2 linked regions of the Nothobranchius furzeri genome follow. The protein of the gene in region 2 interacts with the protein of the main gene of each other region in a pairwise test. Links are inferred from orthologs where the notes say so. Each region holds a gene or a part of one and is shown on either strand. Other genes may lie near its edges.

Region 1 (4,502 bases), on a different chromosome or scaffold from region 2:
GACACACCCCCAGTTACCTCTGACACCCCCCCGCCCAGTTACCTCAGACACACCCTCAGTTACCTCTGACAGACATCCCCAGTTACCTCTGACACCCCCCCGCCCAGTTACCTCAGACACACCCTCAGTTACCTCTGACACACATCCCCAGTTACCCCTGACACCCCCCAGTTACCTCTGACACCCCCCCCCCTGCCCAGTTACCTCAGACACACCCCCAGTTACCTCTGACACCCCCCAGTTACCTCTGACACCCCCCCGCCCAGTTACCTCAGACACACCCCCAGTTACCTCTGACACCCCCCCCCCAGTTACCTCTGACACACACCCACAGTTACCTCTGACACACCCCCCCAGTTACCTCAGACACACCCCCCAGTTACCTCTGACACACACCCCCAGTTACCTCAGACACACCCCCAGCTACCTCTGACACCCCCCAGTTACCTCTGACATACCCCCAGTTACCTCAGACACCCCCCCAGTTACCTCTGATACCCCCCAGTTACCTCTGACACGCCCCCCAGTTACCTCTAACACACCCCCAGTTACCTCTGACACCCCCCCCCCCCAGTTACCTCTGACACACCCCCAGTTACCTCTGACCCCCCCACCCCCCAGCTCACTGTGCATCTTGATGACAGGAATATTCTGTACAGCAGGGACATTCATCCCGAGCCTCGAGGCCGGTGTCCAGCACGTTTTGGTTTTAACCCTGCTTCAACATTTCAGTTAGTAGGTGATTAACAGGCTTCTGCAGGGCCTGATGAGCTGCTGCACAGGTGATTCAACCACAAAATCCAGTGTGTTGGACCAGAGAAACCACTGAAATGTGCTGGATACCGGTCCTCGAGGCCTGGAATTGAAAAGCCGGTGTTAGACTGGGATATCCAGCCATCCCAGAGCACCCTGATGCAGCAGCGCATCCATCTGACCATGTTTTTATTTGGATGTTGCCTGATCGCTCCTCAGCCCACCGCTGCAGCAGCACAGTGCCGCTGGAAGGGAGAAAACATTTTTTGCGCACCAACGCGACGTCCTAGAGTCTGAATTTCTATCCAAGTTGCCATGGTTACCTGTGAAATGACACCTCATTTCTATGCTGCATTTTCATAACTAAGTTAGCATTGTTCATTCATGGCAGGAAGAGGCGGGATGTGACCCAGAAACACTGAGCTCATCTCTACGACAGAAGCAGCTTTCCCAGAAGGTCTGTGGTTCGGTTCTGTTGGGTTTGCCTCGGCTATGGAGGTCTCATGTTTTACTAGTAAACAGCAAATCTGCATGGGACTTTTTAAAGTTCCCATGTTTAACAACAGCTTCTTGTTTGACTTCCTGTCTGACCCGATCTGAACTCCTGAGCTTGAATGTTCTGGAAGAGTGGCGTGTGAGCGTAGGCTACGCTTTATTCCCTTCATTTATCCGTTAGGAACTTTGTTAGCAGATCAGTGTCAGCGCAGCCCATACAGTGCTGTCAGAGCGCGCGCACACACACACACACCTGATTTAATACTACACTACCTCCAGTCACTTGGATTGTGGCTGAGCGTTTCACAGGAAACGCACCAACACACCGTAGCGGCAGCAGGTCTGGTGGAGGGGGCCGGTAACCAGGCCGGGGCACCAGCAGAACCCCCATCGTTTATGAGAGGTTTTGATGTTAGTGAGTCAGGGCCCAGTCAGCTGAGGGTCACATGTCAGTAAATCCCTGTGTGTGTGTGTGTGTGTGTGTGTGTGTGTGTGTGTGAATGTAAATGTGTATGTGTGTGTATGTGTATGTGTGTGTGTGTGTGTGTGTGTGTGTGTGTGTGTGTGTAAATGTGTATGTGTGTGTAAATGTGTGTGTGTGTGTGTGTGTGTGTGTGTGTGTGTGTGTGTGTGTGTGTGTGTGTGTGTGTGTGTGTGTGTGTGTGTGTGTGTGTGTGTGTGTGTGTGTGTTACCTTGGGGTAGTCCAGAGTGAAGAAGGTCTCCAGGTTGCAGATGAGGTTCGGGTCGACCCCCTTCAGTGGTTTCAGCAGAGAGACTCCAGCTACCTGCAGGAACGGCTGCTTGACCTCTGACCTCTTCCTATGGAGGTAAAGACGCCTGCAACAGAGGTCAAAGGTCAGCTTAGACACAATGATGTGGTTCTGCTCACCAGCAACAGGACCAGGACCAGAAACCGGAGTTATGTAAAAGTCCCAACCGAACCGGAACAAGACCGGAAGTTGTGGTTTTTCTGGATAAAACATAATAAAGTTTTGCTGAATAAAAAAACTCGACGCCGGTAAACACGCAGCTGTCAGAACCAGGACCGGTCTACCGGCGGAACACCGGAAGGCTAACGGCTAATGCTACAGGCCGTGATGGGTGTGATCCGAAACCGCAGGAAGTCCTCCGTCGGGCGGACTCAGCTGTACTCGGCTGTAAGCAGCAGCTAACCGGTAACGGTCACCGGCTGGTCTAGCTGACACACGGGGATCACCGGCAGCCGAACCGGGTCGGTGATCAAGGTCCAGACACGACAGAAGGGTCACTCACACATAGATGATGGACATGAAGTGCATGAGCCACAAAACGGCGAACAGAACCAGGCCGAACACGGCCAGGCCCTGCATGGCGACATCCAGCAGGTCCATGGCTCTCCGGGGGGCTGCGGGGCTGAAGGCCGCCTCAGGGAGCTTCGGCTCTGGGTGGTCGCGACCAGCTGACTGGACAACACCGGAACCAGGAGCAACGGCTGCTGCTGCCAGAGATCCGCTCTCCGGGTAGCAGCGAAGGGCGGCAGGAAGTGGTCCGGTCCGGTCCGAGGGCTCCAGCAGCGGGGTTCGGGTTCTGTGTTCGGGGCTTATTGACAGTCAGCAGACCGATGGACGGTCAGCTGATCAACACGGGGGGGGGGGGGGGTACGGCGCCGACACCGGAAGCGAAAGCAAAGTTCGGCTTGTGCTTCCAAAATAAAAGCTTGTCTGAATAAACATACTTTTAGTAATTCATCCTTTCACTTCCGCTTATCCAGGTTGCGCCCTGCTCTCAGAACCCCTAACCTGTATACATCGGCAACAGGTAAACCCGCATTGGTGGATCTGACTCCACCAGAGCTCCTCCTGCAGACCAACCATCAAGTCCAGTCCTGCTGTCATGGTGTTCTCCTCCCTCTCGTCATCAACCATCTAAAATCTCCTCAGCCCTCATTGTAGCACCTACCTGCACCTCAGCAGGTGTGGCTCGAGCTGTCTCACCTCCAGCTTTCTCCTTCTGAACTACCTCTCACCTTTAAAATGAAAACAATGACACGAATAAAGTTCAAATAAAGGAAAACACACACACACACACACACGCTTACAGCAGCTACTACAGGTCAAACTTAGCTATTTGGTACTTTTTCGTTTGACTTGGTGAAACTCGTCTAATAACTGAACTATGTCCCTGATGACATCATCTAGAAACCAGTTCCACTTTTTTAAACAAAAACACCTAAACCCTCTTGTCATGTGACAGCCAGGATGCTTATGTGTAGTGTCATCATCATGATGACATCATAAGTCAGTGTGGTAATTAGCTGCTCCCCCAGGCAAGAAACAGGAAGTGATTCAGAGATTCTGAGAAGCCTGATTGGCTCGGACCTTTTATTCTCTCTCTCTCTGTCTAAATTGTTTATTCCTGAGTTTCAGACAGCTGTTTGTCCCCGTCAGGCCCCAGGTGAGGTGAGGCAGGTGTCCACAGTCCATCAGTGGCTCAGGGGATAAGAATTTGTCCTGTAACATGTGGGTTGCCAGTTCTAACCCAGGCTTCATCTGGGTCTAACGTAGTGCCCTTGGGCAAGACACGTCCAACACACACACACACACACACACTGGTGATAACTCGCCTCTGACATAGGAGTTGTCTGCTAAGCTGGCTCCAGAGCCATTGGTTTTTGACTCCGTTGCCTAGGCAACAGCGCATTCTAGTGGACATGTTCATCTTGTGCTTTAACAGCTTCACTGATAATGGGAGAAGTGAGCGTTTGTACCGGTTGTGCTGACAGAGGCGGACTCTGAACCTTCGTCCTGACTGGTAAAACGTATCTAGAGAGTGAAACGTGGAGGGATCTGTTCACAGTGCCTGTCTGAGGGTGGTCTGCTCAACAGGTGTGTGTCTAGAACATTTATTTTGGGGTGGCCAGGTAGAGACACAAATTAGGACAAGATGGCGCATGTAAACGACCCATAAAGTAGAAAAAAGCACAAAGTATTAATCGTAGTCTGATTGGCTACTATGAACTAAAATAAAGTCAAAGCACAATACCAACGGTGCACCTTTATTAATCATTATCTGACATTTAGCCATGCATAAATTCATTATAATAAAATTGGGGTATCAGCCGTGCTGACCACTTTCTTCTACAATCTACTCTTCAACTGCATCATTTCCTGCTATTTCAGCTGTTAACTTTAGTTTTCTCAAAGTGTTCCATATTGTTCTCATTTCCTAATATTTCATGATTGTGTCAAAAGCGTTTTTAAGATCAGTGAAAACT
Region 2 (4,259 bases):
AAGCACCTCCTCATCCTCGGTTTGTTGTTTCATTTTCTTTTTCTCTGTCTGCAGCATTTTTATAACTCTGTAAAACCACAAAACAGCTATGATCTAAAGCATTTATCCTGTTTTCTTTACGGAGTATATTAGAATAAAGACAAATAATAAACACACCTGGGATTTTATAGAGATAACCAATAACAGCTGTAATTATTAACAAACATTTATGCTAACTTTGCTAGCCCACCAAAGAATAGTACTTTTTAACCTGTAGACTTCGTTGTAAATAAGTAATTAAAGGTTAAAATTAACACTGATTTAATTTAAAATTAAATAATTGTGTGTTAAAGCAAATAAAGTTAACTGTTGTCACCTAATAAGGAGGAAAATCCTATCTATGGTCCATTTGTTGTTTACGATCACGAGCGGTTGCTAAGGAGAAAAAGTTCATGACTTTGTTCATACCCGAAGCTGCCAGAAGAGGGCGCCAGACAGCAGCCCATTCAAACCCATGAAACCTGAAAATATACTTAACGGAAAGCAAATTTATCACATAATAGACTCGTCTGGTTTAGTACTTTTTAAGAAACTCAGAATGCCATTTGTCTAATTTTGCATAGCATTGCTAGACCCGCAATCCAAATTTTATTAATCATGACTTTAGTTCAGATAAAAAAATTAAAAATATTTCAGATTTCAAGATTGTTGAATCATTAACAATAATAAAAAAACATTATCGATATTCTGTAGGTTATCTGCGTTATGACTAGATAAAAATTTGTCAGCTACATGGACACTATCACATTAAATACCAGAAATGTTGCATCTCCGTTAGAATCTTTTACCAAAATTCATCATTATGATGACTGATAATATCCTGTCTATTGTGTTCTGAATTATACACTAGGCTCTACTCTAAAAAAAAGATTACTTTGGATGTTCACAATTTTTAGACAGAGGCCTACTTGTGGATACACCTTCATCTTTTGTTGGAGGTTAGAATGTTGCTTATGGGGAAAAACGTCATAAATATATATATATATATATATATATATATATATATATATATATATATATATATATATATATAATGTTTTTATTTATTTTTATTTTTTAAGTAAAGATGGATATTTGCGATTCATCCAGTTTAACTATCAGGTAACAAGACGACCACTAACGGTGTGAGGTATTTTTAAATGGGCTATGAAACTTAGGTTTTCCCATTATGAGAAACCACATGAGAAATGTAATTTAAACAGGAGACATAAACAATGTGAGGGTTGAATATGTGTTACAATGGCCTTCCATACTCACATCCCTCTGGACAAACAAAACAGATTAAATTAGAATTTGTTGCTCCTTTTTTGGAAACAGCTTCTGTTTTCAGTAGGATGCTTCTGGTCATCAGCAGCAGGTTGTGTGGGGTTTCTTCAGCTTTTATTATAAATATGTATTCATATTTTTACTTTCTAAAACGTGTAAGCAGACAGTACTTTTAATTTTTATTTTATTATTTTATAATTGTCCCGAATGAAGGGCCAACCCCGAGACACTATGACGTCAGCGTCGGATCAGTGAACTAAAACAATCACCCTTCTCCTCCTTTTCCCTAACCGACCGCACCGCCTCACCCGTGGCGTCTGAAACCCCCACCCGACCAGACCAGACAGGACCAGAACCAGAACCAGCTGCACCGCTCCGTCCGTCCGTTCAACGCTCGTTCACACGGTCACGGAGGAGGAGAAGCTTGCAGCAGCTGCGGTATCTTCTGTCCGACCAGCATGTCCGCTCAGCCCGGTGAGGAGCTCGGCTCGGATGGGAAGTGGTTCGGAGACGAGAGGAACGGCCTCTTTGGGAACGCGCCGCCTCGGTTCGGTGAGGAATTCAAGCCGAGAGGCAACGACGCGGCGGGCGACCTGGATAAACAATTTCATCTTTACCAGGACGACGGGAAAAGGCCTCCCGTTGCTATGGAAACTGCATCTACAGGTAAAACACGCACTTATCTCAGGTAAATCGTCATATCTGGACAACATGCTGTTGTGTTTGGGCCTAACATGGGTTTGTCTGTGCCAAATGTAAATAACAACACGCACCAGAAGCCTATTATAAACAGATGGACGCAGTCAATTTGTCACAGATTACGACGGAGGGCCTTGGGTTTGTCTGAACGCAGTTTAAAACTTCTGAGCAGGAAACACACAAACACAAGCTGCAAGAGAAATATTTGCAAATATGGATCCGCAAATTAAACGATATTTCCAACCAAAAGCAATTTAGCACCATTTTAGGCCATCAAAACATAATTTATTCAAGCTTTTTAATATGCCTACCTGTGGGGGGTTAAATGATGTTCTACCCCTCACAAATAAACAATAATATTCTTTTAGATGTTGAGGCAAGAGGAATAAGATAGAAAACACCCAAATATTGCAGCCTTCATTCAGAATCTCTTTAATGATGCTGATGCTTTAAACCATGCAGTGTGTGATGGCTTCTGGAGGTGTATTTTCTTGGAACATTATGGCCCTTAACCCCCTCAACGCAACCCTTCTCATCTTGATGCTATTTTAGTAACATGGCCCCTGGATTCGCTTGGTGTGCACAAACTAGAGCTCTGCACTTTTATTCACAAATCCACTGAAAAATTCATGAGATATGCTTTTAAAAGAAACCCTTATAGTCTCTTCCTTTTGCTCAGACCCTTTCCCATTCAGCATGCAGCAGCTGATCCAAAACAAGGAAGTAAATCATCCGTTTTAAAGGGGACGTAATATGTATCCCCTTGTGCTGCCGTGTGGGTCTTTGCTGCCTCTCTAAACACTCCAAACGGGAGTAAAACACATCCATCCATTGTCTGCCCGTTTGGATTTAGGGATGATGCACCTAAAACAAGCTGTTTTAAAAAGTCCTCATTTGTAACATCGCAAACGGGGAAATTAGCATCTCACCTGAAGGAAAGCAACACAGCGTGAGGAGCAGCGTCTCTACTCTAACCCCTCCTTTCCACCGGAGCCGTACAGCACATCATATAGTTGCTGATAGGAACCGCTGTGGTAAACAGAACCTTTTCCACTGGAGCATCAGCAGCGCGAGTCGGCCGCATCTCAGGAGCAGCATGTCGCGGCCCTTACTCGCCGGCTCTGTTTTCTACGCGCTACGCCTCTGAAATGGGTCAAGTTCGACATTTTTGGGAAAGGAAAGACAGGAAATCGGACGCGGAAATGGAGCGAAGCTTCCCGAGATTTTCAGAATAAAGAAACGTACTGCCATCTGGTTGCTTTACTTTAAAAAAAAGTTATCACCTAGCTAGCTGTCTCCTTTGTTTTTCCATAATGGACGACGAAAGGTTGATTACTGAAGTGGAGAAGTACCCAATCCTGTTTGATCCCAGTCACAGTTTTTATAAAGACAACGTCAAGAAGGATAACACATGGAGTGACGTATCTGCGGTTTGGGGGCAAGATGGTGAGTTTATGCTAATTATTAACGAGATTTCTTTTCTGTATGGACCTCTGTCAGTTATGCTGACGCGTGATTTTGCTAATGTCGCGTGACTTCGTGCTCTGTCGGTGACAGCTGCCCCCCTGCTGCGTCGCGTCTCCTGGGAAGGGCCAAGCAGCAGCATACGCGAGCAAGACGTGCTGCTGCAGTAAAGTGCTGCTGACGGCTCCGGTGGAAAGGAGGGGTGTGCCCCTCCAAGATATCTGAGCTTCTCAGCTTATAGCAGCCTGAGCGTAGGATGGGTGGGCGTGGCCAGCTCCAACTTGTTAAAGCGACAGAGCCCTGAAACAGCTCAATCTGGAAGGTACTGAAATTGCTTAATGTGAGAGGGATTTCATGCAAAGCATTTCATAAACATGTTTTATATCGGCTGTAGAACTATTATAACCTAAAAAAAATCATCATGTGTCTAATTTGAGTCAACTTGGTGAATGCACAATTTAGACCTTGGTTTTTGCCATGGATGTGGAATATTTCATTTGAGGGTGAAGAGTTTATGCAAAAAGTGCATTTAGTTTTACAAATTAGCTGTACTCTCTTAAAAAGTAAACAAAGCATTTGCTCTACTTTTATAACAGTCTGCTAGATACGCTGTGTAGATGCACACTGGCACACACACACACACACACACACACACACACACACACACACACACACACACACACACACACACACACACACACACACACAAATGCTTTTGGTGAAATTGCAGCCTCCAACTGAACCATGTCTATAAATGTGAAACATTCCATCCTGCTGCTCTTTATACCTCA

What was found.
Region 1: the proteins of rtn1a (region 2) and ugcg interact in a two-hybrid assay, tested with the Homo sapiens proteins (2 studies listed by BioGRID and IntAct). The link is inferred for Nothobranchius furzeri from reciprocal best matches to the Homo sapiens genes RTN1 and UGCG.

Annotation. Positions count from the first base shown.
Region 1 is NC_091746.1:70,013,988-70,018,489, reverse strand, and holds the start of ugcg (ceramide glucosyltransferase), read right to left. Parts: upstream 2,826-4,502; 5' UTR 2,620-2,825; coding exon 2,522-2,619; intron 2,087-2,521; coding exon 1,942-2,086; intron 1-1,941. UniProt on the Homo sapiens protein: Participates in the initial step of the glucosylceramide-based glycosphingolipid/GSL synthetic pathway at the cytosolic surface of the Golgi.
Region 2 is NC_091758.1:31,279,066-31,283,324, forward strand, and holds the start of rtn1a (reticulon-1a), read left to right. Parts: upstream 1-1,182; 5' UTR 1,183-1,763; coding exon 1,764-1,971; intron 1,972-4,259. Other genes in the region: lrrc9 (leucine-rich repeat-containing protein 9), read right to left, coding at 1-57. UniProt on the Homo sapiens protein: Inhibits amyloid precursor protein processing, probably by blocking BACE1 activity.